Regions from separate parts of the Mus musculus genome. Here all the other regions are reported to be linked to region 6. Evidence: microRNA targets listed by miRTarBase, many of them from high-throughput screens and not tested one by one. Region 6 holds a microRNA gene; each other region holds the end of a gene's coding sequence.
Evidence for each region. Region 6 holds the annotated microRNA mmu-miR-339-5p (UCCCUGUCCUCCAGGAGCUCACG, at 2,685-2,707, opposite strand). A microRNA usually pairs through its seed, bases 2 to 8, with sites in the 3' UTR of a target mRNA and lowers its output. Matches are read on the target gene's strand: a 7mer-m8 pairs with bases 2 to 8, a 7mer-A1 pairs with bases 2 to 7 and ends in A, and an 8mer does both.

Region 1 (5,086 bases), not on the chromosome of region 6:
GTCACTCAGTTGTATGTTACTCAGAATTGTGGGGTAGGGGGCTGGAGAGATGGCTCAGCGGATAAGTGCACTGACTTCTTCCAGAGGCCGAGTTCAATTCCCAGCAACCACATGGTGCCTCACAACCATCTGTAATGAGATCTGATGCCCTCTTCTGGTGTGTCTGAAGACAGCTACAGCATACTCATATAAATAAAAATAAATTTTTAAAAAAAATTTTGGGGGGTAGTGGGCACTGTAGAATATGTGGGTGTCTAGTGTACTACTTGGCACACAGTGAGTGCAGAATTCACCACTCATTCATAAGGTGCTGAAAACATTTTGGCAGAGGAGGGCATCAGAAAGCAGCCCTGGACCCTCCATGAAATTCTTTCCCAAACCCTTCCCCAAATCCTGTCCCTACACAAGTAGAAACTTGGTTCAAGGTGGCCAGAAGTTCTTGACTCCTGAGCCACTTTGCTCCCCATATAATGCCTTTTTCTCTTCAATGTGTCTGATGAAAGATTAAGGCTAGGAACTTTCCACTCTGTGGGCAACAGGGGCTTACACCCCAGCCCCACCCCACTCCTCCTGTCCTAGAAAGAAGCCTGTTCCCCCACCACCTATCATGTTAAAAAAGCCCTAGACACCAGCGCCTCAGACCTGAGTACAAAGTTGTTAGGTAGTTATGGAACAGGTATGGTAGCACTTGTCTTTAATCCTATTAAACGTAGAGACCTGTGGGTTTGTTAAAGTGGGCCCTAATCTAGCCTGATTGGTATCCTTTCACTTTAACACATACACACACACATACACACACACACACAGAGAGAGAGAGAGAGAGAGAGAGAGAGAGAGAGAGAGAGAGAGAGAGAGAGAGAGAGAGCGAGCGAGCAACTGATCTGGCAAACCATGGATGCAATTGTCTACCTTAATCTATTCCACACCATCCACAGCACCCTTTGCTGGACTGTGGGTAAGGTGCTAGTACCAACCCATCCTCATGGCCATTCTCTTAACCTCAGCCTGAACTTTGAGAAAGGGGAAACAATGGAAAGGACCCTAAACTGCCTATCTATTGCTTGGAACTTAGTTTCCTAATAATTCCAAAATTTGCTGTCAAGGCAGCTCAGTCCCTAGAAGAGCCTGCCTCATCCTTAAATCGGTGCTCACATCTTTTTCTCCCCCCCCCCCCCCGCTTTTCTTTTTATTCAAGACAGGGTTTCTGTGAGCTCTCATCCTGGAACTTGCTCTATAGATCAGGCTAGACTTAAACCTAAGAGATCCACCTGCCTGCCTCCCTAGAGCTGGTGTTTAAGGCGTGCACCACCAAACCCAGCACCCCTATTTCTTAATAGGAAATTAAGGCTGGGATAGGTACAGTAAGTAGCTGAGTTACAATCTGAACCCAGGCCAGTTGGGTTTGGGCCCATGTACTTACACCAGAACTTTACCTTACCGCCTCATCTTTCAAGTAGAAGAAAAAACCCTCACTGATTTAACTGAAAACTACCCTTTGAACCATACCATGTTCCTGTGGTGCCAGGATTGAAAACCTGGCCTCACACATGCCAGGAAAGCAGTCAACCACTGAGCTGCAACCCTTGGCTCATAAATACCAACCTACCAGTGTTCATGTTTAAGCACACGGATCTGTATGCCTCAGCAGGTAAAGGTGCTTGTCACACACATCGGATGACCTGAGTTTTCCCAAGAGCCCATGTAAACATGCAAGGAGAGAACAGACTCTATGCAGTTGCCTCCTAAGCTCCACCCATGTGGCATGCTATTTAAGACCAACACATACACACCCACGCACAATATGAAAGATTTACATCTAAAACCATAACATACTTAATAGAAGTGAAAAACTTACATCTAAAACCACAAAGTTACCCTGTGAAGTGTGCATCTTCTGCCACTTCCACCTCAACAGTCTGAGAAAACTCATCTTTTGCATTTCTGAAATTCCTTGTTTTTGTTGTTTCTTTGGGATGGGGTAGATGGCTCCGCATCTAAAAGCACTGGCTTCTCTTCCTGGGGACCCAGGTTCAATTCTCAGCACCCATAGAGTTCACAAACACCTGCAAATCAAAGATCTAACACCTTCATACAGACATACATGCAGGCAAAACACCAAGATGCATAAGATAAAAATAAAAAATAGTTTAAAAATAAGAGAATTGGGCTGGGCGGTGGTGGCGCATGCCTTTAATCCCAGCACTCGGGAGGCAGAGGCAGGGAGATTTCTGAGTTCGAGGCCAGCCTGGTCTACAGAGTGAGTTCCAGGACAGCCGGGGCTATACGAAAACCCTGTCTCGAAACACACACACACACACACACACACACACACACACACCCGCAAAAAAAGAGAATTGGCCTTATTCTGGTACTTGTAAATGTTCCTCTAAAATAGTATTTTCACTAACACATTTTTATGTAGATTGTTTTTGAAACAGGACCAATCTCTTATAGCCCAGGTTGTAGCCTTGAACACTTTGAAACTGAGGACAACCTTGAACTCCTGATCCTCCTGCTTCCATCTCCTAAATATGGGAGTTACAGGGATGCTAACTTCCATGTCTGGCCTGTAATCTTCACTGTACGTATGACTTCTATGGTGGCTAAGGTGACAGTGTGTATGATTCCCAACAGCTTGTCATTAACAGTTGCTTAGAATTTTGCCAGAAATCCTCCACACCTCATGCATTTCAGTAGAATCCTCTCCCACGTGCAGTCTGGGTCAGACAATATGTGATGGTAGATGCAGCAGAGCTCAGGTGCTAACATAACAGGCCATTGCAGCCCATTTGGGCCCGTACCAATCCTGTCACTGCGTGACACGAATATATGTCTAAGGACAAATAATATTTAAGCTGAAAGACCAACCAGGGGATGTGAAATGTCTATCTATACCTTGGGCAAGGGACCAGACCAGGAATCACCAGGACGCCCAAGCATGCCAAGGCAAAAAAAAAAGTGAAAATCAAGTTGCTGTCTGGGGAAGCAATGAAAGCAGAGCAAGCAGCAGGGCTGAGTCCTCAGAGCACTGCTTCAAATCCTACTTATCTGAGACACTCATGGGAAGGTGAGGAAAAGAGGGGAAAGTGTGTCCTAAGACCATCTTGGCCATACTTGCAGGGCTACAGTAACTTAGCCCCAGCAGCTCAGGCCAGTGTCTCGTAGAATTAAAGGTTAGGATCCAGTTCAGATTCAGAAACCAACCAATCCTTAATTCCTGGATATTTTCCTGGGCATTTTTCCTCGTGCTGTGGCACACCGAGCACTGCCCACTTCCCTGCAAGCCAAGCTTGTCTCCCTTAACACTGTGCCTGCCAGCCAGGGCCTACCAAGAAAGAGGTATCATATCGGCATCTTCCACTCAACTAAGCACTCCTGCAGGCCCGCATGTCCATGCATCCTCAAGGCCTCAAGTAGGATGAAATGTTCTTACCAAGCCTGCCCTTCCAGACAAGCACACTCTGTTCCAAGTTTGCAGACCAATCAAAAAGAAATGGCTATGGCCATTCGTCAGGAGCAAGCACATTTCCAGGAGGGAGTAAGAAGCAAACACTTCAGCCAGGCGTGGTGGCCCACACTTTTAATCCCAGTACTCAGAAGGCAGAGGCAGGCGGATTTCTGAGTTCGAGGCCAGCCTGGTCTACAAAGTGAGTTCCAGGCAGCCAGGGCTACACAGAGAAACCCTGTCTCAAAAAACTAAAAAAAAAAAAAAAAAAAAGCAAACACCTCAAGCAACAGCCATTTCAGCACAGGACGCCATCTACGAGAAAGGCCTGTGTATGTACTTCCTGTTCTCTCAAGCCTTCCTCCTACAGTAACTTTACTGTTGGTGACTGCAGTGTTTTCAGCACTAGCTTCCCATTTATAAATGTACTTTACATAACAAATACTTAAATATTTCACTGACTTTTCCTTAATTTTATAAATTATAGATTTCTAAAATCATAATTTTCGGCATTTTGGTAATACGAGGTGTTGGGTGTCTTCTTTTAACAATGTTGTCACTAATACCTCCTACTGTGCTGAAGCTTGCTCAGGTACTCATAGCTCCTTAACTGATAAACCCTGACGTCTGGTTCCTTCCCCAGACACCACTGAGGCCCACTTGCTATAAATAAAGCCCTGGAGACATTCTACATTGGAGTCTACTTGGGTTTTCACTGACAGCCACTCACTCACTGAGCTCAGCTTCATCAAATTTGTTTGCAGATTAGGAAACTGAGGCAGACAACTCAATGAATGATCCAGTTCTCACATTAGGTGCTGCTGAAGAAAGCTGAAAGAGTCAACCTTGTATTCACACAGCACTACTATCATACTGGGTCCACTGACCTTAGCAGCCAGGGACTCAATTGCTTTATTACCTCTGTACATACAAAGAAGCTTGGCAGTGAGTGGCCCGGGAGCCAATATACAGACCCATCTACATTCCAGGGCCTGTTCCTGCTCCAGACTCATCTTGTTGAGAAGGCATGACAGGGGATAGACACCCAGAGCAGAGAGTCCTCAGACACTCAAACACAGTATGAGGCCAACAGACCAAAGTACATTTCCAGGGGCTGCAGATGTGCTGCAGACTGCAGTCTGAGGTGGAGAGGCAGGGCAAAAGGAGGTTTGGAGCACTGACTGGGAGATAGGGTGGTGGCAGCATTTCAGGCTTGAGGGTTGATGGGCAATGGGCTCACTTGAGGCGATAGAGCACCTTGCGCTGCATACGGTGTTGGATCTCACCCCTGCGTAGCATGAGCTGCAGCACCTTTCGGATAGCGTGCTCTGGATATTTCTGTAGGAGGGAGCACAAGACAGATGCACAGGTATATCATTATGACCCAAGGGACCTGATGCATCACCGGATCATAGACAATTTTAAACAGACAAAAAATATCCACCTCCATTCTCCCTTGACTTCAGAAAAGTGTGTATGTGATGATGCCTCTTGTGTACTAGGTAAGTACATATATCGACTTTATGCACCTAGTATTAGGAATAATCTCATTTTACAGAGGAAGAAATAGGCACAGGCTGTCACTTGTTTGGGTCATATAGCAATTAAGTGAGCTAGGACTTAAGTCCCTGTGACCCTAGA
Region 2 (5,086 bases), not on the chromosome of region 6:
TAAACAAATCCCAGGTAAGACACCCATAGGTCCTCGAGCTGGTTGTGTTCCGCTACTTCTGACGGCGTGAAATACCGACGTTGAAAATTATCCAAGTCTGGCCCGGCTACTAGGCCCCGGCGCGGCATGGCTCCTGGTCTACAAGAGGCACAGGCTCCCTCAGCTACCTTCTCGCTCCTCCGCAATCTTAAAACTATCAGGTCCAAGAACTACCTGAAGTGCGTTTGTCGCTGACATGGAAACCATTGTCCCTTTCCGGCCACCGGCCACAGTAGTTAGTTATACGTAAGTAGGGCGGGGTTTGGGCTGCGCGTGTCCACCGGAAGCATTCCGGATTCCGGCTTCGAGCCTACTGTGGTTGAATTCATTCTTAGAGGAAATGAAGACAGTCCGTTTCATAACGGAGTGTAGGCTAGATGAGTTAGGGGTAACAGAAAGTATCGACGAGGAGACTAGAATAGAGGGTTTTTTAATCACCAGATTTCAGGCGTTTAAAAGCTGTTTAAGCAATTGCAGGTAAAGTTCTCGCGATATTCTTCTCGTAGCCCAGTAGGCATGTAGGGACCTGGCATGAAATAAAATCTCGCGAGATCTGCAGTGGCGGAACCGGAGGCGAGGAGGAATTGTGATCTCACGAAAGCGCTTGGGAGCACTCGCGAGATCTGACGCGCCGATCCCCCAAAACGCTCTTAGGAAGTTTAAGGCCCAAAAGAGGTCCCAGGGCCAATGGCCGGAGCTGGGCCGACCATGCTACTACGAGAGGAGAATGGCTGTTGCAGTCGGCGTCAGAGCAGCTCCAGCGCCGGGGTTAGCGTGGGCTTGGTTTCTGGACGAGCAGTCGGGGAGCGACACCGGGCGGGGAGGGGAAAGGGGGTGGCGAGGTTGGAAAGGAGAACTACAATTCCCAGCAGCCCACGGGCTTCTGGCAGCGCCGCGAGGGCAGCTGGGAACTGTGGTTCCTTGGGCGTGCTGCCGATCCTAGGTGTCTGAGTGCTTGTCCTGCCCTAGCAGGACTCTGATGGGGAACAGGAGGACTCGCCGGCCACGCGTGCACGGCAGCAACTAGAGGCATTGCTCAACAAGACCATGCGTATCCGTATGACAGATGGAAGGACACTAGTCGGCTGCTTCCTGTGCACTGATCGCGACTGTAATGTCATCCTGGGCTCTGCGCAAGAGTTCCTCAAGCCTTCTGGTCAGTGTCCAGGGAATACACACCTACCTCCTCGGGAATGCGGCGGAAATTCACTGCAAGGCATTTCCTCTTGCAGGCCTTACTGCACCCCCTTATTTTCTGGGGGCGAGACGGATGTTTGCCTGCTGTTCTGATACTGACTTTTTTTTTTTTTTCCAGATTCATTTTCTGCGGGCGAACCCCGTGTGCTGGGTCTGGCCATGGTACCAGGACACCACATCGTTTCTATTGAAGTCCAAAGGGAGAGTCTGTCGGGGGGCCCGTATCTCTGACCACAATTGCACTTCTCTTTGAGACCATTAAACCCTATGACCAAAGTGGCCTGTGTCTGTGTGTAGGTCCAATGTCAGGGGAGGGCTAGCACACCCCACCCTTAGAGGTTCATCAGAGTTCAGGAGCTTCCTCAACCTGCCCCAATGCCTAGAAGAACCAAACCCTCCCTCAAGTTAGGAGCTTAAGGCAGCAGGCCCTAGGGTGGGCCCCTCCATCTTCCCTCCCACGCTCCTGCTTCAGTTTCTAGCGGGAAGCGGTGTCATCCTGCCCCGGAAGATCCATTGTTTCCCACCCCGGCCTGGCAACACTCAGTTCCTTTAAGCTGGGGTCAGAGAACGGGCTCGGGTCCCCAAGGGGAGCTGGGTAGGCAGCCGAAACAAGGCCCTCTCTGCGCTATTAATGGGGAAGTGACTTTGGGGTCAGGGCCAGACAACTCTGGGGTCTGATCAGGAAGAATGGACTAATGCGATAAGGAAAAGGCAGGATGCTGAGAGATGCTCTCTGATTTGCCCATTTGTAGTCTTGAGGATTCGTTTCCTACTCCTGAGCCCAGTGCAGGAGCGATTGGATATGTGCCACCCCTGTATTCACAGAGTGCATTCATTTTATAATTTTTTTTTATTATTTGTGATGGCTTCTCTCTTATTTGTGTGAGCCCTGTCCCTCAGTCCTGTAAATTTTGGAGGAGCTGCACCAGCAAAGGAAGGCACAAGGTCCAGCTCTCTTATTTACAATAGGGAAGGGAAAGAAGATGTGCAGGGTCCAGCCCAAACGTTCAGGAATCAAATGTGAATGACGTTTCTGGGACATGGGAATTTTCGCCAGCTCTACGTCCACATTCAGCTGTTCCATCAAAGGGATGGTAGGATCCGGCTCAGGCCGCGGTAAGGAACCGGCTTGGGCAGTACACCCCTGGGCTTGTTTCAAGTCCTTGAGAGACCAGGAGGGCAATCGACAGGATTCTTGACTCTAAGCACCTCAGACCCAGACCTTTCCCGGTGTGGGAACAGACCGAGAACCTGGTGAGACTGGGATTTGCTTCGGCTGTGGGATGCGCCGGCGCCTGTAGAGGGCTCGGCTGTAGGGCACGAGGCAGTCGGCCAGGCGGAGGCGCAGGCAGAGGCGGCGGTAGGTAGCCAGGGCAAGGACAAGCAACGGCACGAGCAGTAGGAATCCAGTGACCAACAGGGCTGTGAAGCCTGGGTCCCGCAGATGCGAGGTGCAAAGGGGTGCCTGAGAGCGCAGAAACTGTGCGGATAAGAGACATCAGAATGGGCCACTCTGCCCAGGAGGAAACAGCCCAAGTGGGGATGCAGTGGCTCAGACACCCCCCCACCCCCGCCGCCCACACACCACTCACGCATACCCCTTGGTATGCTTACCTGGGAGTGGCAGAGAAAGCCGAAGCCTAACATGATGACAGCAGGTAGCAAGATGGTCCCCAGCACCAGTGCCAGCAAGAGGAGATTGAAAACAGCCACCAGCAGATTCTGAGCCGTTACTAGCACTGCACAGGCCCAGCAATCTAGGGGATCCCGAGGCTCTGGGCCGCCAGCGAGAACGGGGCGCTGGGCTCCGGGGACCTCCGCCATGGCCTGGTTGGTTCCCGCCCCACACGACTGCAGTCCTTATAGCCCTCTTTCCTGCCCCTCCCCCGGGGCAGTCTCTCTGCACCCCGCCCCCCACTACCTTATCCTGGAATGCGGCTCTGGGATTAGGCATCCCCATCCTAAGGGGCAGACTGTGGGTCTGGACATTCCACAGGCTCCTCTGAGGAGGGGCTCCCCACCTCCGGAGGCTGCATCGCCCTCCCCTTAGCTCCTCGACCCTTCAACTGATATGCTTCACAGCCATCATCAAAACACAAGGGTCTCTTTTTTTTTTTTCCTGCTTTTATTTTTAATAATATTCTCACACAAAAATCACCGAAAATAGGGTAGGAATGGGAAGCCCCCCTCTGCCCCTGGGGCAGAGAGACAGTGCAGTGCGAGGGGGCGGGACTGTAAACCCCCCCACCCCTCCGCAGCCCCAGCGGGGGGGAAAAAAACCGAACTAAGAAAATGAAAATAAAGCCCCAGAGAAAATCACCCCAGGGTGTCCCTGCCCCAGAGAGGCCCTGCCCTGGGATGTTTCACGCCTTAAAAAAGGTGTGTGTGTGTGTGTGTGTGTGTGTGTCCAATGTTTTTAAAATGGCCGAGGCTGGGGAGGACAGGGTTTCTTTTCCTCATAGTTCTTTAAAACTTTTTATTTTATTTATTTATTTTTTTTACAAAATACCATTTCAGTTCCCACTTCTTCCCCTACAGTACAGGAGTCGCTCACCCTCAGGTGGGGTCGGGGTTGGGTCGGGAGTGGGGGTACTGGTCCAAGAAAGTGCAGGACGTAGGGGAGGGGAGCAGGTTTGAGCACCATGAGAGCCCGGCTGGAGCCGCGGGCGGGCGGAGACAGACGGGCCAAGCCCGGACATACTGGGGCGCAGGGAAGGCCCAGGAGTGGGCCTCCCAAAGAGGCAGGAGGGATGGCTTGGGGATGTAAGAGGTCGGGTTTTCCCAAAAAAAGAGAAAAAAAAAATGAATAAATAGAGGTGAGTGGGACTGTTATAAATTAAAAACCAAAAAACAAAAAGAACAAAAATACGAATCATAACCAAGTGAATAAACAAGAGACATATACAGGGATCACAGCTAGCATTGGAAGTAAAAAAAAAAAAAAAAAAAAAAAAAAAAAGGAGGTCCAGGGGTAGGGGTAAAGCCCATAGAGAGAATCTCATTAAAAACCTCGGCTGCCGAACGTCTATGTACACAACGAGCCGCGAACGTCTGCGCCGGCGGGCGGCGGGCGGGCGCGCGGCGGGCAGGCTTGAGGGAACCCGTATGTGACCCCCGCCGCCGCCGGAGCCTGGTCCTTGTGTCTGTTGCTAGAAAGGCCAAAGTCGGTGAGGGGAGGCGCTGGTGGGCGAGAGGCTGCCAGCCCCCTCCCCGTCTCCCATTTTTTTTCCTTTTTTTTTCCTCGTATTTGTTAAAAAAAAAACATTTTTTTTTTCTTAATAAATTAAGTGAGGGGAGCTGCCAATAGGGTGGAAGGGCTGGGCCCGACCCCCTTCCCGGCCAGAGGCGGGACCTAGGTCCAGCCCAGGCGTGTGCTGGTGGCCCCGCCGCGCCCAGCGTGGGCGGGCGAGCGGGGCGTCCGGCCTCATCGAGACGTGCTGGCGGGAGCCTGCGGGGAGAAAGTGGGCAGCTTCAGTGGTGGGCGGATGGGGACCGGCCGCTCCCGCGCCCCCTCTGGAGCCCAGGCGCTCGCTCTCACCAGTGTGAAGGCATCGTAGGCCTGCGCCAGCTCCTCCGTGCGGTACTGCTCTAGCACCACCACGCCCTGTAGGCCCGCGCTGCGACGGCGCGCACAGCCCTCGCAGTGCACCAGGTACGTGTTTCGGCTGCCATTCTCACTTGTAACGAACAGGATGTTGAACACCTCCACCTGGCCAGGAGAAAGCGGCTGTCACTAAGAAGTCACTACTACTGTTAGGTCTCTTCCAGGCAGGGGGAAGAGCTTGCACACTTACGTCGCATTCGTTGCAGTAGTAGGCAGGCTCGTCTTTGACACGGCCTTGGTAAGCGA
Region 3 (5,086 bases), not on the chromosome of region 6:
AAGGCGTGCACTACCATGCCTGGCTCTCTTCCACCTCTTGACATGCACAACTTGGAAATGGAGGTGGGGACTGGTGTTGTTCTTGGTGCTGTTCTAATGTTCAAGAAGTTGTCATTTGAAGGGAGGCATGAATTAAGGAAAGGAGGAGCTGCCCCTTACAGACAGCCGTGTTTCATCAATCCCTGTAAAGTAGCGCCTAAACCAGCAGGTGTGGCTTACGGCTAAACTGAGGTGTGTCTCAGTGGGTGCTTGATGGGATGTTCATTGTGTTTGGCCTACAGACCACTTTGTGAAACGCAAGAAGAAGGCAGCCGCGGCCGCAGGAGGAAAGAAGGGAGCTAAGTACAGCAAGGACTATACCGAAGGCTGGGTGGAGTTCCGAGACAAGCGTGTAGCCAAGCGAGTGGCAGCCAGTCTACATAACACGCCCATGGGCGCCCGCAAGCGCAGCCCCTTCCGTTATGACCTGTGGAACCTCAAGGTGAGGTTCTCAGTTTGTCTGCCACATCTTCATTCCCCCCTCCAGCTCTAGTCCAGGCACCCCATCCTTCCTGCTAGCTCTGAGCAGCTCCCAGTTTCTTCTCCCGACCTTCCCTACCGTGACCTTTTCTTCTTTTCCTTCTCACAGTATTTGCATCGTTTTACTTGGTCCCACCTCAGTGAACACCTTGCCTTTGAGCGCCAAGTACGAAGGCAACGCCTGAGAGCAGAGGTCGCCCAAGCAAAGAGAGAGACTGACTTCTATCTTCGAAACGTAGAACAGGGACAACACTTCCTTGCAGCTGATGGGGATGCTACTCGGCCAAATAGCTCCTGGACATTCACCCAGCGTCCCACTGAGCAGGAGTTTAGGGCCCGGAAAGCTGCACGGCCAGGAGGGCGGGAAAGAGCACGGCTGGCTAATGTCGAGGACCAGGCCCGATCCAACAGAGGGCTCCTTGCCAAGATCTTTGGAGCCCCTCTACCTGCAGAGAGCAAGGAAAAACCGTAGTCAATAAGGGACTCCTGGTGATGGAAGAAATACCTACCAGCCCTGCGCCATTCTGATCTGCTTCCTGAAGAGTGTGACCATCTAGGCAGATGTTTTCTCTATTCCACACACCAAGAGTCTGGTAAAGGCCTTTTGTTGGTGTCTTTTACCTACTTTGAACAAATCCTGTAAGTGCCAGCCTGAGAACCTTACTCGTCCTATCCAGGGTGAAGACCACTGGAGGTGCCTGTTGTGTTTTGTTTGATTTCTGATTGCCTGCCTCTTTCTCAGTGGACAGCTAACAGTTTCTGACTGAAAGAGTGGACTTGCCCTCCACTAGGGTAGTGGTCTGTGGTGTTTGTTCACTGTGGTGGAAGGCTGAATTAGCAGGAATTGGATTAGAGGTCCAATTTGAGGCTTATATTTGAAAATAAAAAATAATTTATTTTTATATGCTTTTTAGTTTTTCATTAAGTAAGTTTCAACTTCTTTTGAAGCCATACATGCCGCTCAGTTACTTTAGCACAGGCATGATTCTCCTCCACCCATGAATCTCAGTTACTCTATCAGATATGATCCCAATGCTCCTGTGTTAGTCAGGGTTCTGTAGAGTCACAGAACTTATGGGTAGTCTCTGTATAGTAATGGAATTTGTTGATGGTTTACCGACTGTAGTCTTAACTCCCAACAGTGGTCAGGAGCACCTGTGAATGGAAGTGCAAGGGTCTAGCAGTTGCTCAGTCCCACAAGACAAGCAGGTGAAGGAGGGTCTTCCTTCTTCCAATGTCATTATGTAGGTCTCCTTAGAAGATGTGGCCCAGGTTAAAGGTGTGTGCCGCCATTCCTGGATCTGGGACTTGCTTTGTCCCACATGACCTTGAACTCAGAGATCTCCTTTCTACGGAGGAAGTAGTCCAATGTAGTAAACCTGACACCAGGTTTCTGGCTGATCACCTCAAAGAATCTGGGGCTCAGTGTTAGTTTCTGCTATTGGCAGATCTGGCATTCAGCGGCAGCCGTAGCCAGGTCAGCCTTGGTGAGTGGAAGTCCCTGTTGTTGAGCCCGAGCATAACCTCCATCTCCGTCACCATAGCCACTTTGTTCATGTGCCCATTGAGCAATGACAGGGATGGCTGGGGAAAGAGGCTGACTGTCCACAGAACGGGTCATCTAATCCACTTGATTATTGAACTCCTCCTTGGCTGAAGTCACCTTTTGGTGAGTGTTTAAATGGGACACAAATATCTTCACATCCTTTGCCCACTTGGAAATATCTATCCACATACTTCTTCCCCAGATGTCTTTCTCACCAATTTTCAATTGTTATCTTTCCAAATCCCTGACCATCCAGCCAATCCATTGGCTACAAACCATGAGTCAGTAAACAGTTGTACATCTGGCCATTTCTTTTGCCAAACAAACTAATACCACGTGTACTGCCCGAAGTTTTGCCCATTGTGAAGATTTTCCTTCACCTGTATCTTTCAGGGTTGCCCTGGAAAGGGATTATACTGCAGCTGTCCACTTCTGGGTGGTGCCTGCATAACGTATAGAGCTATCAGAAATCCAGGTCCTAGTCTTCAGTCAGCCAATCATAGGAACACCCCATGAGGCTATAGGCACATGCTTGGCAGCAGATGGCATTGTAATAGGAGTAGAAACCATAGGCATTTGAGCAACTTCTTCAAGTAACTTGCTTGTGCCTTCAAGACCTGCTCTGGCCCAATCACATATATACCACTTCCATTTGATAATAGACTGCTGCTTTGTATGTCCTACTTTACGACTGGAGGGTCTGATGGCACCCAGCTCATGATGGATAGTTCAAGTTCAGGTTGCTTGGTAACTTGCAACCTGATTCTGGTGTCCTATTATCAAATGTTCAGTTTCCACTAAGGCCCAATAGCAGGCCAAGAGCTGTTTTTCAAAGGGAGAATAGTTGTCTGCAGATGATGGTAGAGCTTTGCTTTAATATCCCAAAGGTCTTTTCTGTGATTTCCCTACAGGGGCCTGCCAGAGGCTCCAAACAGCATCTCTATCTGCTACCAGCACCTCAAGTGCCATCGGGTCTGCTTGATCATATGGTTCAGGAGTAGAGCAGCCTGCACAGTAGCCTGGACCTGTTGAAGGGCCTTCTGTTTCAGGCCCCACACACGTCACTTGGTATATGGGCCTGAGTAACACACCCAAGTGAGTAATATACTGTCTCCAGAATCCAAATAGACCCACTAAATGTGCTTTTTTCTTGGTAGTGGGAGGGGCCAGGTGCAATAACTTATCTTTCACCTTAGAAGGAATATCTCTGCATGTCCCACATTACTGGACCTAGGGACTGCTCTTTATAACTTTCTTATTTTGTGATAGGGCCTCACTCAAGTGAGACTTAGCCTTGAACTCATTCTGTAAGTTGCTCAAATTAGCTTTGAGCTAACTTTGGTCAGGTAGGCTCTGAACATGAAATCCTGTCTCAGCCTCCCAAAAACTTGCTGTGAGGAGAGGCCTGTATCAAGAGGCCTAGTTTCAATATTCTTAAATAAATAAATAGAATAATAATTTACCTTCCTTTTCTTTATAGGGTAAATCCTTACCTGGAAAAGGCATCCACAAGCTATCACATGCCTTATCTTTTAAAATGTTTCAGTATTCATTTTGGTACATGTCTTCTGTATAAAAACTGCAAAAAGATGTTTACTAATAGATCTAGGGGTTAAAAATACTGTCATGGTTTGAATATGCTTGGCCCAGAGAGTGGCACTATTTGGAGGAGTGGCCTTGTTGGAGTAGGTGTGCTACTGTGGTCATGGGGTTTAAGAGCCTCACTCTAGCTGCCTAGAAGTCAGTCTTCCACTAGCAGCCTTCAGATGTAGAACCCTCAGCTCTGCCTGTATCATGCCTGGATGCTGCCAGGCTCCCACCTTGATGATAATGGACTGAACCTCTGAACCTGTAAGCCAGTCCCAATTAGAAGTTGTCCTTTATAAGACTTGCCTTGGTCATGGTGTCTGTTCACAGCAGTTAAACTCTAAGACAGAGACTGAGCCTCTCAAAGATCCTACCATTCCAGCCACTTTTCCTGTCTCCATTCTCCTCCCTCAGTCCAGCCCATGTCGTGGGTCTATCACATGGACTGCCTTCCTCAGCACCTTCTGAAACTTCGCTTCCAACAGCCTGAACCCCTGGCCCCTTGTTCCCTTCCTCACAAGCTCAAGTGCATTTCCCCTTCAAGATTCAGTCACTTAGAATGTCAGGCTGGCTTCCCCCGACTTCCCCTCCTAAGGTGAGCATCCTGCTTCTGTGGGGCTGGAGCACTGTTTTCTCTCTGGGGTAGCTCCTCCTGTTTTACAGTAATTGTTGATGTTTTTACCCTGGTGTTATCAGTATGAAGATTCAACATTATCTTTGACTCTTTAGGGCTTCAGTCTGGTAAATAAATGTTCACTAACTCTTTGAGTTGCTGTGAGGAGAGGTTTTATAAAAATCCTAAATAATACACTTTCTGCACTCCACTACCTGTGATGTTTGGTTTGACAACCAGTTTGGAAAGTGTCATCTACTTGTGACAGTGATAAGGAGCGTCAGGAAGGTCTTGATCCAAACAGTCACAAAGGTAATAAAAGTCAGATTTACATCTTCATCTGGGACTCTGTAAGCCTACTCTGTCCACATCAAGCCTCTTCTACAGGAACAATGGTAAGAACAGAGTGAAAGCCAGCTAATCTGTGGTGGTTGTTCTGTGTGACTAGAGCCCAATAATGAAACATTGATAAAAACAAGTGTTGACTGGACTTTGTACAAACCTCTAATCTCAGTACTTGAGAAGCAAGAGGTAGGCAGATCTCTGTGAGTTCAAGGCCAGCCTTGTCTATATAGTTAGTTCCAGGACAGACAGGGCTACATAGTGAGGAGGAAGAGGGTAGGAGGAGGAAAAAGAGGAGGAGGAGGAGGAAGAAGAGAAGAAGACTCGACAAAGTGTTTTTCAGGCTCAGAAAGTGCATTGTGACTTCATTACTAGCTGTAGGAGCTGTGGTGTGCAGTTACAGCCAAAGCTAGCTGACTCCTACTTGTAATGCAGTGTGGAGTCATACGCAGTTAAGATCATTGTGCCCATACTTGCTG
Region 4 (5,000 bases), not on the chromosome of region 6:
GGGATCTCAGTCACCAAAGCTCTGCAGTGACTCACCAAAGCTCTGCAGTGACTCACCAAAGCTCTGCAGTGACTCTGATGGAGACTCCACCCATATCTCTTCCCAGAATTCATCTCAGTCAACCCATATAACAGATCAAGGAAGTCAAGGCTGGGACAGCCAGTGTGATACTGTTTTGTTATCTTCCCAAGAGAAAAGTGGTGGGGATAGTACCTCTTTAAACAAGGGTGCCTACAAACCAAAACTCAAAGAGAGTATTTCTGCCTCTCAAATAGAACAGGATGCACTGTGTCCACAAGATACTCACTGTGATTTGAAAAGCAGAGCTGAAGTAAATGGAGCCCCTTGTCTTGTAGAACTAGACACCCTGAGTGGCAGGAAGTCTCCACCTGAGAAGACATTGCTAAGCAGCACACGTGCAGACTCACAGAGCTCCTCTGACTTTGAAATCCCCTCAACTCCCGAAGCGGAGCTTCCTACGCCAGAGCATTTGCAGTGCTTATACAGGAAACTGGCAACAGGTCAAAGTATAGTTGTCGAAAAAAGAAAATGTTCACTTTTAGATAGTTAACAAATAAAACTCTACACAGAGAAACCCTGTCTCGAAAAACCAAAACAACAACAACAACAACAGAAAAAAAAACCCTCTCATTCTAGCAAAGATGTCCAGCCTTTCGATGTTGCAATACAATGCTATACATAAAAGTCCTGGGCAATATCCATAGCTGTGGATGTATGTGGCCTGGAGGGTAGACACACTTGTTAGATCAACCACAAGAAATCTGCAGAGTGACACATCTATATAATAAGATCAACATGAAATATTAAAGGATGCTCAAGTGACCTAAAAGAAAGAGAAACAGGCTCAAAACCAGCATTGCATGAGATGGTAGAACTAAATCTAAACATATAATCACATTAAATGCAAATGATATAAAAAGATTTATGGTGAGATGGCTCAGTGGGTAAGAGCACCCGACTGCTCTTCCGAAGGTCCGGAGTTCAAATCCCAGCAACCACATGGTGGCTCACAACCATCCATAACGAGATCTGACTCCCTCTTCTGGAGTGTCTGAAGACAGCTACAGTGTACTTACATATAAATAAACAAATCTTAAAAGAAAAAAAAAAAGATTTACAAAAAGACAGAGTACAGGAAAAACACTGCCCAACTATGTGCTGTTTTTAGAAAACACAACTCAAGTGATGTAAAAGTTGAAGGTAAAGGGCAGACCACATAAATAATGTTAAAGCCAGAATGATACAGTAGGAGCAGGCACCTTCCCCAACATAATGTCTACCTCACCAAGAAGATGTAATGGTAAGGTTCTTGCCTAGATTGTATGAAGGCCTAGCTGCAGTTTCCAGTACAGTACAGTGCCATGCCCTCCACAAAAGAGCAAATAATACAGATACAAGCCATGGAACACGCTTTCCTAGAGAACCAGTGCACACAGGAAAGCAGTAAGACGAGAACTGACCACCAGTAACTGGATCTGATAGACAAGAGTATTTTACTTCATAGCAGAATACATCTCTTCAAATGTACAAGGACCATTCCTCCACCAAGATACACTGTATCTTGAATCACTACAAGCAGTCTAGAAAAATAAAGGTGGGCTCTATTTTAGTAAACTGGTAGCAGGGGGTAAACCAGGACCTTATTAACCTCTATCACATAAAGACCTGGGTGGGGGGGCAGGGCTGGAGCAGTTTAGAGCACTTGTCGGTTTTGTGGGTTACCCAGATTTGGTTCCCTACACCCATATGGTGGCTCTTAACTGTCTGTAACCCCATTCCAGGGGATCCATGCACACATACATACATACAGGCAAAAGACTCATATATAAAAATAAACCTTAAAAGCTACCAGCAGGCTAGGCAAGGCTGTGTTCTACAAGCTGAGACTAGAGGGACTTGAGTTGGAGGTCAGGCCTGGGCAATGTATGTAGCAAGAGCTTGTTTCAGTACATGAAACTGTTCCCAATGCAATGATGTAAAGGAAAATACTTAAATATTTAACATACATGCTCTGTGAATTATTAAAGTGCCTTAAGGTACAATGCTTTTGTATTGATGTGTATGGATTAATAAAGCTTTATAAGCATTTTCATAAGTACTTGAGTATGATGACATTTTACAAATCAAGGGAAAAGATGTAGGCACACCACATAAGTTTAAAAGGCGTCTAACAATTTGACAGTTAAACTGCATGTCACAGATCATAACTGCTACACAATTAGATCCAGAATTACTGGACCCAACCTGCTGGGTGATTGGACTTAGAATATCTGTACATATAACTCTCCATTTGTGTAGTCACTAATACTCAAAACTTAATTTTAATTTTGTTTCCTTTGACCTGAGCCACACTCAACCCAACTTGGTTTTAATAGAATATTTCATGATCCAAGGTAACATGCCTGTAAACATTGTTCTCAATGTATTTCTAACATTTTATCATTGTAATGTTCATGTTTTAGATCTTAAGTCTGGCATGAACACTGGCTGGCAAAGGTCAAGAGCTAAGAATACATGCTTATCAGCTTAGGTTTCAAATACAGAACAACAGGAAATCTTTACATATGGTGTTTATTCTGTTATTAAAAAAAAAGCCCACTTTATAAAGCTTTAATCTATGAAACCATACTTTGAGGTAGGCATGAAACTAAGGCACAAAGGTTAGTTCACATAGCTAGTAAGCAACACACACACACAGACACACACACCCCGAAGCTTTTAGAGTCCATGCTCGAGCACTCTGCTGTATGAGGAAAGCTCTTTACATAAAGCATTAAAACGGGCAGCATTGATTGTAGTGGCTACATCATTCTTCAAGAGTTCTAAATTAGCAAAGTTAAAAACATTTCAAAATGCCAAGATACATCACAAAATCCTAAAGGCTAGCCACTTTTACTTCAGAGAAGAATCAAATGCAAACTGATTGTATATACCTTCTCATACAACTTGACAAGCCTAGGGTCACCTGGGAAAAAGTAACCTCATTTGAGAAACTGGCTCCATCAAAATTGGCCTGTGGCATGTCTGTGGGGATTTCCTTAATTGTAATTGATGTAGCGGGGTCTAGCTCACTGTGGGCAGTACCATTCCTAGGCAGAGGGGCCTGGGCTATCTAAGAAACCTAGCTGAGCATGAGTCTGGCTGAGAGTAAGCCAAGAAGCAGCGTTAGCTTTCCTACATGGTTCCAGCCTCTGCTCAAGTTCCTGTCATGATTATTTCCAAGGACATGTTGCTGAAGACACTACATACTTGGGACGTGTGACGTGAGGAATCAGGCTCCAGCTGAATTGATCACTTTTATCACAACAATGTGCACACACATACACATACCCTGTATAAATAGCTAACATGAGGTGACAGTCTGAGAGGGATGTAATGGGGGAATGTTGAGAGGCAGGAAAGAGTAATGGAATAGTGAAGGGAAGCAATGACCATTACATGTGTGGCACTCAGAGTGAAGTCTGTTTGTGTTTAAAGGTAAAAATCTCCAGGCTGGCATGGTGGCACGTGTCTGCAATCCCAGCGCTGGGCCGTAGGGGGGCAGAGCTGAGGAGTTCACGATAATACTCAGCTACACAGTAAATTCAAGGCTAACCTGGCTACAGATACTCTGTCCAAAGGCCTACCCACTCCCCACAAAATCTTAAGGGCACATTAAATTTCTATTAGTAAGGACAAAACAAAGCCACATATTTATTAAACAGTATTTTCCTTCTTGCCCTCCTAAGTTTCCTTTTAACCTTAACAGTAAATAAGACCAAATATCTAGACAGTCAAACACTGGGTTTTGGTTTTGTCTGTCTTTTTTTAATCTTTAAACCTGAGAATAATTCAAGGTGAGCTTGGCCAAGGGGTTGTTAGGGGGTGGGACGGGGGGATGGGACGGGATACCCGTGTTGCTTTTAAGATTCTCAAAACAAAAGAAATGCCATTTAAAATTATACTTTTTTCTTGACAAATTCGGAAATCTTTGGGTAGCAGACATACTACAAGGCCTCAAATATGCACACTGAATACTATGTACTGTGAACAGCAGCCCCATGAAGGCGATATTCTGCATGTACTGTTGTGAACAGCAGCCCCATGAAGGTGATTTTGAGTAATACTGTAGCTTCTCTCAAACCAGGCCAAGAGTTAGGAAGATAAAGGAAATGCTGAGCTCCTGAATTCAGTTCATTTTACTGACGCTTATCATAGTCTATTAAAGCCTGGAGCAGTGAGCCGGGGGAACTCTTAGGAAACCAAAAGCTTGCTTTATTTGCTGCATTTGTTTTGTCTTCACAGTGGACACCATGATTAGAACTCCCAGACCCAGAAAGATGAAAGTAAGTTTTTTCTTTATTGGGTTTTACTACACAGGGAAAAACCGCATCTAATCCCCAGAAGTTAATAAAAATTCAATCAGACATAACTCTGGCCAAGCTAAGTTTTATCTTATAAAAAAATTCTTGTATAAAACAAGTATCTGTTCAAAAGGGCATGCACAAAATACAAAATTATTTAAATGTAGTGGATAGTAATTAAAAGTGCCTGCAAGTGACCTGAATTACACTGTCATCGGGGCTTGTGTCCCTCACGGATCTCACTCCTGCTCAGATGAGATACTCAGTGCGGACCTCCCACTCGCTGAGTGGCTCACTCTGCCTGGCACTCCAATGGGCCCTCCTAGTCACTGTTCTGTGTGTTCAAAGAAGCACAATGGCCAGCCACTATAGACTTCTAGAGAAGGTGATTAGGGGCTTTTCTTCTGTGCAACTAAAAAAAATCTTTTAAGAATTTCAGGTTCAGATATACAACCTTTGTAATGGTATCTATTGCTTCAAAATAAGATCAAGCTAGAAGTAAGTCTTTCACATTTTTACACCTGAAATATATCATTAAGATGCCAATGTTTTTATGTAAAAGTAGAAAATATAGTAAAAAATTCAGCACTTATTTGTCTCTGATCAGTGAGTATTAAACAGAAATAATATAGTAAA
Region 5 (5,086 bases), not on the chromosome of region 6:
CCCTCCCATATGCATTTCTCATGCAGATGCTATGACGCGACACTTGGCTGTGGAATGGGGTCCCCAGAATATCCGTGTCAACAGCCTGGCTCCTGGTGCCATCAGTGGCACTGAGGGTTTAAGGCGATTAAGTAAGTCTCCCTGGGAGTTTGAGACACCCATCAAAGCTTCAAGAATTGTTGCAGTACTTAACAATTCTGTCTTACTGGGTGGTGGTGGCACACACCTTTAATCCCAGCACTTGGGAGGCAGAGGCAGGTGGATCTCTGAGTTCGAGGCCAGCCTGGTCTACAGAGTGAGTTCCAGGACAGCCAGGGCTACACAGAGAAACCCTGTCTCAAAAACAAAAACAATAAGGACAACACAACCATCAACAAAAGTCTTCTTATTCAAGTCAAGAAGTTATCTAAATGTTTAACCTTCTACCCTGTTGAACTTGGCCTACTGTGAGGGTCTCCAATGTCCATCATGTGGGTTCAGTGTCAGTCTGCTGTTGGCCTTGATAGAGCAACCACTGTTTCCAGATCTGGGTCAGGGAGAGAGCTAGCTGGAGAGAGCAGCAGACACTGTGGCATAGAGGCTTACTGGGATCTGACTTCCTATTGCTTTCCAGGAGGCTCCAATGCCAGTTCGAAATTAAAGCATTTTTCAAATCCTATTCCAAGACTTGGGACCAAGACAGAGATCGCTCACAGCGTGCTGTACCTGGCCAGCCCTCTGGCTTCCTATGTCTCAGGTATCGTGCTGGTGGTTGATGGTGGAAGCTGGATGACATTCCCCAATGGCATCAAGCAACTGCTAGAGTTTGAATCCTTCTCTGCTAAGCTGTAGGTAAGGTGTTGTTCCCACTTCTCGGGATCCCCATGTCCTTGGATGCCTCATCTTTTATTCTACTAAGTGCAGCTATAAACTACTAGTCATGTTTTCATAGGAGCATCCCTGCCCCTGTCCTGGCACAGAGGGGCCCTGGGCCAGGTGGGCAAGACATGGTCTCCAAGAATGTGAAGGAAGTGGGCTCTATGACACTGGGTTTTCCCAGACCTTATCCTCGTCTCTATTGGAGAAATACAGCCTTAAATTTGCAATTTTCCTATCTTAGCCTCTGGAGTGTGAGAGTACAGGAGTACATGCTAGGATATAACTTTTTCTTTTCTTTTCTTTTCTTTTCTTTTCTTTTCTTTTCTTTTCTTTTCTTTTCTTTCCTTTCCTTTCCTTTCCTTTCCTTTCCTTTCCTTTCCTTTCCTTTCCTTTCCTTTCCTTTCCTTTCCTTTTCTCTCTTTCTTCCTCCTCCTCCACGTTCTTCTTCTTTCTCCTTATAACTTCATCTCAGGTCAACGTTTATTCAGTGATGATTAATGATTACTTTTCTATTAATTAATGAATTAATCAATTTTCTTTACATCATGACTGAAGCTTCCTCTCCCTCCCGTCCTCCCGTCCCCCAGGGGAGTCCTCCCGTGGATATCCACCTTCTTCTTCTTTGAAGATAGGATCTCATGTACACTATGTAGCTGAAGATGATTTTACAAAAGAGCCACCCTGCCAATTTTTGCAGTGTTTGAAGATCACACCCAAGGCTTCCAGCAGGTTCAACCAGCAGAATCAACTGATCTGTACGTCCTCCCCCGGGGATCTTCTGACACATAAACTTCGTACTCAAGATAGTTGTTTTGAGGAGGCAGTGTTCTTCATGGGGAATGCCTCCTGCCTTGCATAGGTCTATAGTCACACAGGAAGTGTTGAGTCTGACTTGGAAATCCGAGCCCACTCCCCTGCCTCTGGGATCAAGCTCTTTGCAAGCTCTGCCTCTCCTCCGCCCACATCTTGAGTAGGAATAACCCGATCATGCATAGCTGAAACTTGCTTACAGTATCTGAGGAATTCCTATGGTTTTACCAGAAAAAAAATGCATTTTCTTGTAAAAAAAAATTTTTTTTTTTGAGACAGGGTTTCTCTGCATAGCCCTGGCTGTCCTGGAACTCTGTAGACCAGGCTGGCCTCGAAATCTGCCTGCCTCTGCCTCCCAAGTGCTGGGATTAAAGGCATTCGCCACCACTGCCCGGGTTTTTTTTTTTTTGTTTTTTGTTTTTTCTACTATAAAAATAGCTATGAGTTGGAATTTGTAAAAGTTTCTAGAGGGCTGGCAAAATGGTTCAGCAGGTAAGAGCACTGACTGCTCTTCTGAAAGTCCTGAGTTCAAATCCCAGCAACCACATGGTGGCTCACAACCATCTGTGATAAGATCTGGTGCATCTGAAGTCAGCTACAGTGAACTCATGTATAATAATAAATAAATCTTTGGGCCAGAGCTAGCAGGATTGAGCGAGCAGAGCAGACCAGAGCGAGCAGAGGTCCTAAAAATTCAATTCCCAACAACCACATGAAGGCTCACAACCATCTGTACAGCTACAGTGTACTCATATACATAAAATAAATAAAGAAATCTTTAATAAAAACGTTTCTAGACAGAAAAAAAATTGACTGATTCTACCATGGAAATAGTGCTTGTGTTTCCTGTCTTTTTTCCATATCTCTTTAGCTTGGTTGCTTCTCATGCCTTCCTCCCACCTACCGAGCCCAGTCCTTCCCCCCTCATGCACTCCTCCCACCAACTGATCAAAGTCCTTCTCCCTCATGCCCTCCTCCCACCAACTGAGTGAAGTCCTCCCCCCTCATGCCCTCCTTCCACCAACAGAGCCCAGTGCCCTCCTCCCCATTATCCTGCCCCCCAACCCTAGCAGCACAGCTTCCTGACTTCTTACCAATGGTCTCCAGATCAGAGGGAGGTGTGGCACTGTGGCCACCCTGGTGGGAGGGAGCATCTCCCCCTCCCTGAAACCTTTCAGCCCTATAGTCACCTGTCTTTGAACTCCCCGCTCTACTACAAATCCTGAGCATGTTCTGCTGTTCCGGGCCCCTTTGGCAGACACAGTATCAAGCTCTTAGCTGTTGAGCCAGCTCAAGAAGGACACAATTTCAGCACTCACTCAATGTGTAAGGTACAAGCAGCCCCACTGCCCCATCCGTGGGGGTTGCCTGCCGGCTCCAGCATGTGGCCACCATGCTGGTGTGTCAGAGCATTTGGTGGCCAGCCTTGTCTAGCAAGTGCTGGGATTAAAGGCATGCGCCACCACCGCCTGGCTAACCTTAATGTGTTAGTGTAGATACCCCCAGAGTCCAGAAGAAGGCATCTTTGAGATCCCCCTGCAGCTGGAGTTATAATCTGATTTGAGTCTCATGAAAATTGAAATCCATTCCTCTTCAAAAGGAGTATATAGCTCTAATCACTAAGCCATTTCTCCAGCCCCGCCCCCCCCCCCCAAGATGCAGATTTTAAAAGGCATTAGTTCATTATGATGGCACAGGCTTGTAATCCCAGCACTTGGGAGACTAAAATAGGAAGATTAAGATTAAGGGTGGTTTAGACTGCACGGTGAGACCCAGCCTTAGAAACCAAGCAAGCAACCAAACAACAAATAACACACCCCTCAAACCCAACCCAAACCAAACCCCCTCAGCAACAGCAAAACCCAGGCTTAGTGGTATACACTTGTAATCCTAGCATAACTGCCACAAATTCAAGGCTAGCTTGGCTACAGAGTGACTATCAGCCATGCCAAAAACCTGTCTTAAAATAACAAAGTGGGGCTGTAGAAATGGCTCAGTGGTTAAGAGCACTGACTACTCTTCCAGAAGTCCGGAGTTCAATTCCCGGCAACCACATGTGTCACTGTGAGGGTGGGCTTTGAGACCCTCCTCCTAGCTGCCTGGAAGTCAGTCTTCTCCTGACTGCCTTTGGATCAAGATGTACAACTCTTTTTGTTTGTTTGTTTGTTTGTTTTTGTTTTTGGAGACAGGGTTTCTCTGTATAGCCCTGGCTGTCCTGGAACTCACTTTGTAGACCAGGATGGCCTCAAACTCAGAAATCAGCCTGCCTCTGCCTCCTGAGTGCTGGGAGTAAAGGCGTGCGCCACCTTGCCCAGCTAAGATGTACAACCCTTGACTCTTTCTCTAGCACCATGTTTGCCTGCACACTGCCATGCATCCTGCCAATATAGTGCACTAAACCTCTGAACCTGTAAGCCAGCCCCAATTAAATGCTGTCCCTTATAAGAATTGCCTTGGTCCAGCCGGGCGTGGTGGCGCTCCTTTATTCCCAGCACTCGGGAGGCAGAGGCAGGCGGATTTCTGAGTTTGAGGCCAACCTGGTCTACAAAGTGAGTTCCGGGTCAGCCAGGGCTGCACAGAGAAACCCTGTCTTGAAAAACCAAAAAAGAAAAAAAAAAAGAATTGCCTTGGTCATGGTGTCTCTTGTTAGCAATGGAAATCTTAAGTCATACAGCCAGTACTGTTACACAGAGAAACTCTGTCTCAAAAAACCCACACATCCTCCCCTACCACAAAAAGAACAAAGTGTCTTGGGTTGTATGTGTTTAATGAACGAACAAACAAAACTGCATGTACTCACCCGTGCCTTGGTTTGAGCCATACAGGTGATTTCTAGCATGTCAGTGTTTTCCATAGGTTACAAATGAAGGTCTGGGTATGTTTATCTTTGTCTATCCAGAACACAAAAACCTTAAAATTGCCCAAAATAAACACTGCTCATTTGGAGGGGGTTCCTTTCCACTGATTTCTGTTGCCTTGGTAACTTGGAGCAGCCCAGCTGTGGCTTGCATGTACTACAAGATCTGGCACCAAAATCCACTTGTCTCCCTGGAGGATTTTCCCAAGCACTGGGTCTTCCTCTCTGTTTGCCAGGGCGGGGCCACCTCATGGAGACATAGGAAACAGGTTGAAGGTACCTGTCTGTTGTATTTGTTTGTTTGTTTTTGCTTTTAAACATTTGTTATTTATTTGCATGCATATGTGTGGGCAGGATGTGTTACGATGCTCATGTGGAGATCCGAGGATAACATTAGAGACTTGGTTTTCTCCTTCTACCAAGTAGATGCTGGGGGTTGAATTCCGGTGACAGGTTTGGTGGTCTTTACCTGCTGAGCCATCTTGCTGGCCCATATTACTGTGTGTGTACAGAACATGGGAAGGGGAGCACATGTATGTGCAGAGGTCAGAGGACAGCTGT
Region 6 (5,086 bases):
CATGGGTACTGGTGTTGAGACTGGATCCTCTGGAAGAGGGACAAGTGCTCTAAACTGAGACCCCCATCTTTCCAGCCCCCTGGTTTTCAAAGAGGAACTTGGTACGTGGCCCAGGCTGGCACTTCTCCTGTCTCTGTAGCCTCTGGAGTCCCGGGATTAGAGCTGCCCTCTTTTCCAGCTCTTTTTTAAAAGAGAGGTAGGGTGTGGCACACACATGCTGGGTGGAGATGGCTCGGTGGGTTAGAGCACTTGTTGCTCTTACAGAGGACCTGGGTTTGGTTCTCAGCACCCACATGGTAGCTCTCAATCATTTGTAATTGTAGCTCCAGAGGGCCCAAAGTCCTCTTCTGAACTCTGGGTACATATGTAATGCTCATTCAGGCATGCATATAAAACATGCACACTGGCCTGAGCGAATGCTGCACCCACGGAGGGTCCTTGTATGGATGGTGGGCTCAGCTCTTTGCTGTCCCTACCAAAGCCAAGGAAGGCTGACACTTTGGGGCCAGTGCAGCATCAGCAGTCTCCCAAATGGCACACCCTGAGGGTTCCTCCACCCACATCTCCATCACCACTCATGGTTTGCACTGATCCAGGGCTGGCGGAGCAGGCAGCCTCTGTCCCATGCTAACAGGCAAGGCTTGCTGGGTGACTCTGGAGATTGAGAAGAAAACTGGACCATCTCCCAACAGCCTTGGTAGCTAAATTCAAGACTGCCTGGTGTCCATGACAGGGCACAGCCTGTGTGTGTGTGTGTGTGTGTAGGTTAGCTGGTAAGCTGACCTGGAATTATAAAGCCCAGGCTAGCTAGCGTCCCCTTAGGGGCAATCTTGCCTCAGGCTCCCTGAGTTCTGGATGTTGAGAAGAGTCCTGGCCAGGCATTCTGAGCCACACTGGTAAGGGGAGTCTGGCCTGCTTGTGCCTGTTGCTGGTGAGGAGGCTTAACTCTACCATCTGTAAGCAGGGGCATCCTGGTGAGTGGGTGTTTTCTGCCAGCTCAAAGACTCCAGGCGGCACTTTCTCCCTTGCCCTCACCAGGCTGTGTGTAAACCCAGGACCAACCTTGAACCAGGGCAACTGCGTGGGCCTGCTTCTCTTGTTTGTTCCCCAGGTTTAATCAGGAAGCCCTGGTTGAACCTTACTGTTTTTGAAGCCTCAGGCGCTGAGGAGGCACACAAAGGTGGGTGCTGCAGCAAACCGCAGCTTCAAGCACCCCACCACTGCCCCTCCCTTGGGTCCCATGGGGGTAAAAGAGGCCTTCTGTGTAGGAGGAAGGGCAAGGGCCCACTGTCCTTCCCCAATGAAGTTCACAGGGCAGAGAGATGTTCTCCTTCTCCACACAGCTAGAAGGAGCTGCTGGCCCTGGCCAGGGCATCACCTGTGCTGGGGCAGTATGACTGGGGATATTCTCTTAATAGGGATTTGTGCTGTCCTGGGGAGGCAGTCAATGCCCAGCGTTTTTGAGCATCCACTGGGCTCAAAAACATCTTGTTCAAACGTTCTTGGAATTGTGGAGGAGGTTGGTGAATATGTCCTGAGGATTGAAAGTCCAAGGCTAGCTTGAGCTTAGCAAGTCTGTCTCAAACATAAACAAAAACCCCTCAAAGGTTAGTTGTAGACCTTGGCAGTAGAGGCCCTGGTAGCCAGTGCCAGACACACAGCTCTGTAGGACCTTCTTTCTTGGAATGACTGAGTCAGGTGTAAGGATGAACACAGGTGAGGGTAGAAGGACCCTCTGTTGTCCCCACCCCATCATGTGACCAGAGCAGCTGTACTGGGGGCGCAGCTGAGTGGCAGGGAATCCAGTCATTTGACCCGCTTCACACAGGACAGAGTCCCAAGGGCACAGCAGATGGTCGATGGAGCCCAGCACCTGGCCTGTCTATCACATACCCAGGTGGTGCCTCCAAGGCTGGGGCATGGTCTCTGGTCCCTACCACCCCTATACCTGTTCCCCAGACATTGGGAATGGCCTACAAGTGACAGCGATGTTTGTGGGGGGAGACCACGAAGCCTGCTGAGGCTGACGAGCTGGGTGCCAAGGCCAGTGGACTCTGTTCTCATTCCCCAGCCCAGAATCAGCCCTCCTCCATTCAGTTGGAGCCAGCCCGAGTCCAGGGTCCCACAGAGGTGTTCGACCTTGAGAGCCCATTCCGGTTCACAGACCTCAGCAGACTGCTGCCCGGCTATGCACTCACTCGGTAGCAAGATTTCCAGAAGACAAAGCAAAAGCACAACAACATAATGAAGAGAGGGGAGAGAGTTTGTTTTAAAGGAAGCTTTTTATTTGGAGGTAATTACTGAAACACAGTGGATGTAGAAGTGACCCAGGGACACCAACTGCCAGGACATAGGTCACACGCAGTAGAATCAACTGGTGCTACAGAGGACACACACAGAGGGAGAGACCTGGAAGGCTCCCTCCTGGCTCCTCTCCCCTCCCCCTCAGTGTCTGCGTAGGTTAAGATGATTAGGACCCCAGAGGGGTCAGTGCCTTGCGTCACCGCACAGAGAAACCAGAGTCCCCTCCATCCACGGAACAACCTGCAGATCTGCACAATCGAGTTCAAGAAGGTACAGCATGAACAGCCAGCGACTGAGCACCCTGGTCTGCAGGCAAGGGTCTGTGGACAGTGCAGGGGTGGACACCGGCTCTGTCGCCGAGGCGCTCACAGGCAGGCATACGTGAGCTCCTGGAGGACAGGGATAGTGGCCACCCCGTCCAGCTCTGCACAGCTGTGCTCTCACCACCTTGGTGCCAAGGCAAGGGTCACACCCACCTAGGGATCCCCTTCTAGATATGACTTTTCAAATGCACAAAATGTCACTTAAGCCCCATGCTTGAAAAAGACAAAGATGACAGATGCGGCACCCTGCCTCCTCAGTGACCTGAATGGCGGAAGTGAGCAGCAGATCTGATGTATCCCTGAGAAACAGGAGACTGGGCCATCACCAGCTGCCACAGGACACACGAATCCCCAGAGGTGATGTTGTCACCGCCACCAAGCCCAGGCTCTGTCCAGGCCACAGGTCCTTCTGCAGTCACGGCAGAAACACCCTGTGTCACTTACTTGGGGGTTAAACACAGGCTAAAGCCTAAGTCTTGACCTCAGGCTGCCCAGAGAATTAACTTTCTCACAGACTCCAGCACAGACCACAAGGCCTCTAGGCTGTGAGTCCCCGACTATACATCGGTTTTCTTGGCTCTCTGGCCTCAGCTCACCTGACTCAGGCTGACTGGCCCCACCAACAAGGTTATGAAGGTCCCATGGGTTTTCTAGGTCTAACCTCTCCCACTGCTATCTCACATGTCCCCAGTTCCAACACAGGAGCAGACAGACCCCAGGAGCTTGAACAGGGTGCAGATTTCCTTGACTAGGCTGAGGGGCTGGCTCCAGAAGATAAAACTTCCGTCCCTTTGCCTGCAGATCACAGGAACTGGTCCCAGCAGCTCTGGCACAAGTTTAAGTGGGAAGCCCAACTCGGCCATCAGTGAAGCTCCTGGTCCAAGAGCAAGGACAGAGTCAGCCCCTGCCACCTGAATCACGGGCGTGAGGGCGACACACACAACAAGCTCCCACCTAGGTCTACTCAGAAATGGCAGAAAGCAGCCAACAGGCAGGGAAGAGGGCCCTGCAGCGGGGGAGATGGGGAGGTCTCTAATCAGACCCCTGCAGTAGGAGACCCTGAAGTGAAGGAGAGGGAGGGGCTTGCATCTATAACTGAGCATTCCCAGGCCAGGAAAAGCCTGCTGACACAAGAACCTGTGTACTGTGCAGAGCCTGCGCTGCGTCCCTGAGCCGAGCGAGACTCAGTCTCATTTCAGCTGCAGTCTGCCTCCTTCGCCCTAGCTGGAGGCCTTCTTTCTAGCCAGGGCCAGGTACCCACATCCCCTTCTCTAGAGCTTCCCGGCATGCCCACCACCCAGGGATGCTTGTTCTAGCCTGGTTTCCACGTGCCCCACTCCCAATTCTATTTGAGTGTGCCGGTAATCAAAATGCTTTTGATTTTGGCTTCCTCTGGTAGAGCAGCTGTGTTCACACATCCCAAACTGCCTAGTGGACCCCCAAGTGACATTAAGGTCATGGAAGCTTTCTTGCTGTGGCCAAGGAAAGGCCATTTCTCCTGCTACAACGGGCCCAGCAACCACCCTGCAAGCAAGGTCAGATGTCTCTGCTCACCTGGGTAAGTGACTCCCTAGCAATCCAAAACTCCCCACCCCCCTTTTTTTAAAACAGCAGAAATGTGAAGACAGCTCTGAGCCAACGAGGGCAGAGATGACCAGAACAAACACTGGGGCACAAACAACACTCGCAGGATCCTCTATAGTTCCTACTTTTTGTGCTGATCTTGCTATTATAATGCAGAGCGGATTTCTAAAGCTTGAAAAGCCCACTAAGCAAAGTGTGGGAGTCATCCAAGGTGCGGGTGCAAGCAGCTACAACTGGGCAGAAAATGGGGTCTCCCAGGGAAAAAAAAAAAACCAAACAAACAATTATGTACTGTCAAAGACTATCAGCCACCAGGCTTCCACATTAGCTGAGCAGCCTGCGATCCTATTTCTCCTGCGAGTGTCAGCCTGTGAGCACAGCCTGCCAAGTTCTCACCTCCAGACCCTAACTATACCACCTTCCCCACAGACTTTAAGGAGTTCCTGCAGGAAGGCTGACCTGGGAGCAATTGAGAAGGCCTGCAACAAAGTCTGCCTCTTGGGAGGTGGAAAAAAACAAAACAAAACACAAAAACCCAGGCTAGTGGAGCAGGCAAGAATGAAATCAACATTACACAGGGACTTCATTAAGTGCCATAAAGTTTGTTGTTATGCCCCTCCCACTGTTCACAAGCAGTTTTTTGGGTCAGGGCTCTGCACACACCGCGGACACCCAGGAGGGTCCTCCTGGGTGTCCATGTTAACCTGGCAAGTTAACCTGGCATGTTAACCTGGCAAGCGGTCTCAAAGCCTAAGACTCAAAGTCTAATAAGACTATGAGCGGGGCCCAGGCTATGGGCTCAGGGGTGGGAAGGCAGGCAGCGGTGCGAAGGGACACCTGGACGACCTCGCGTGGCTACAGAGCGAGGCCACCAC

Region 1: the mRNA of Mcm5 is a reported target of mmu-miR-339-5p. Seed matches in the 3' UTR shown: 7mer-m8 at 3,682-3,688.
Region 2: miRTarBase lists Kdm6b as a target of mmu-miR-339-5p. The part of its 3' UTR that is shown has no 7-base or 8-base seed match.
Region 3: the mRNA of Abt1 is a reported target of mmu-miR-339-5p. Seed matches in the 3' UTR shown: 8mer at 2,093-2,100.
Region 4: miRTarBase lists Dclre1c as a target of mmu-miR-339-5p. The part of its 3' UTR that is shown has no 7-base or 8-base seed match.
Region 5: miRTarBase lists Decr2 as a target of mmu-miR-339-5p. Seed matches in the 3' UTR shown: 7mer-m8 at 1,943-1,949.

Annotation. Positions count from the first base shown.
Region 1 is chr8:75,126,920-75,132,005 of GRCm38, reverse strand. Mcm5 (minichromosome maintenance complex component 5) reads right to left here. Exons shown (of 17, transcript NM_008566.3): 17 at 3,567-4,783. The coding sequence ends at 4,682. Among named protein-coding and RNA genes, the nearest start is that of Mcm5, 20 kb to the right of the region's middle.
Region 2 is chr11:69,395,166-69,400,251 of GRCm38, forward strand. Kdm6b (KDM1 lysine (K)-specific demethylase 6B) reads right to left here. Exons shown (of 24, transcript NM_001017426.2): 22 at 5,031-5,086; 23 at 4,775-4,945; 24 at 3,343-4,684. The coding sequence ends at 4,661. It overlaps Cyb5d1 (cytochrome b5 domain containing 1), which reads right to left and starts at 181. Exons shown (of 4, transcript NM_001045525.2): 1 at 1-181. The coding sequence starts at 128. Naa38 (N(alpha)-acetyltransferase 38, NatC auxiliary subunit) reads left to right here and starts at 626. Exons shown (of 3, transcript NM_030083.2): 1 at 626-807; 2 at 1,012-1,195; 3 at 1,355-1,506. The coding sequence starts at 727. The coding sequence ends at 1,467. It overlaps Tmem88 (transmembrane protein 88), which reads right to left and starts at 3,069. Exons shown (of 2, transcript NM_025915.4): 1 at 2,851-3,069; 2 at 1,351-2,716. The coding sequence starts at 3,060. The coding sequence ends at 2,447.
Region 3 is chr13:23,417,878-23,422,963 of GRCm38, reverse strand. It overlaps Abt1 (activator of basal transcription 1), which reads left to right. Exons shown (of 3, transcript NM_013924.3): 2 at 282-481; 3 at 629-4,603. The coding sequence ends at 991. Among named protein-coding and RNA genes, the nearest start is that of Abt1, 3.4 kb to the left of the region's middle.
Region 4 is chr2:3,453,239-3,458,238 of GRCm38, forward strand. Dclre1c (DNA cross-link repair 1C) reads left to right here. Exons shown (of 14, transcript NM_146114.3): 14 at 1-2,116. The coding sequence ends at 571. Suv39h2 (suppressor of variegation 3-9 2) reads right to left here. Exons shown (of 6, transcript NM_022724.4): 6 at 2,577-5,000. Among named protein-coding and RNA genes, the nearest start is that of Suv39h2, 19 kb to the right of the region's middle.
Region 5 is chr17:26,078,621-26,083,706 of GRCm38, reverse strand. It overlaps Decr2 (2-4-dienoyl-Coenzyme A reductase 2, peroxisomal), which reads left to right. Exons shown (of 9, transcript NM_011933.2): 7 at 27-131; 8 at 614-831; 9 at 1,446-2,496. The coding sequence ends at 831. Among named protein-coding and RNA genes, the nearest start is that of Decr2, 9.0 kb to the left of the region's middle.
Region 6 is chr5:139,367,024-139,372,109 of GRCm38, forward strand. It overlaps Mir339 (microRNA 339), which reads right to left and starts at 2,722; the gene lies at 2,627-2,722. All of the region lies in intron 2 of 3110082I17Rik (RIKEN cDNA 3110082I17 gene), which reads right to left.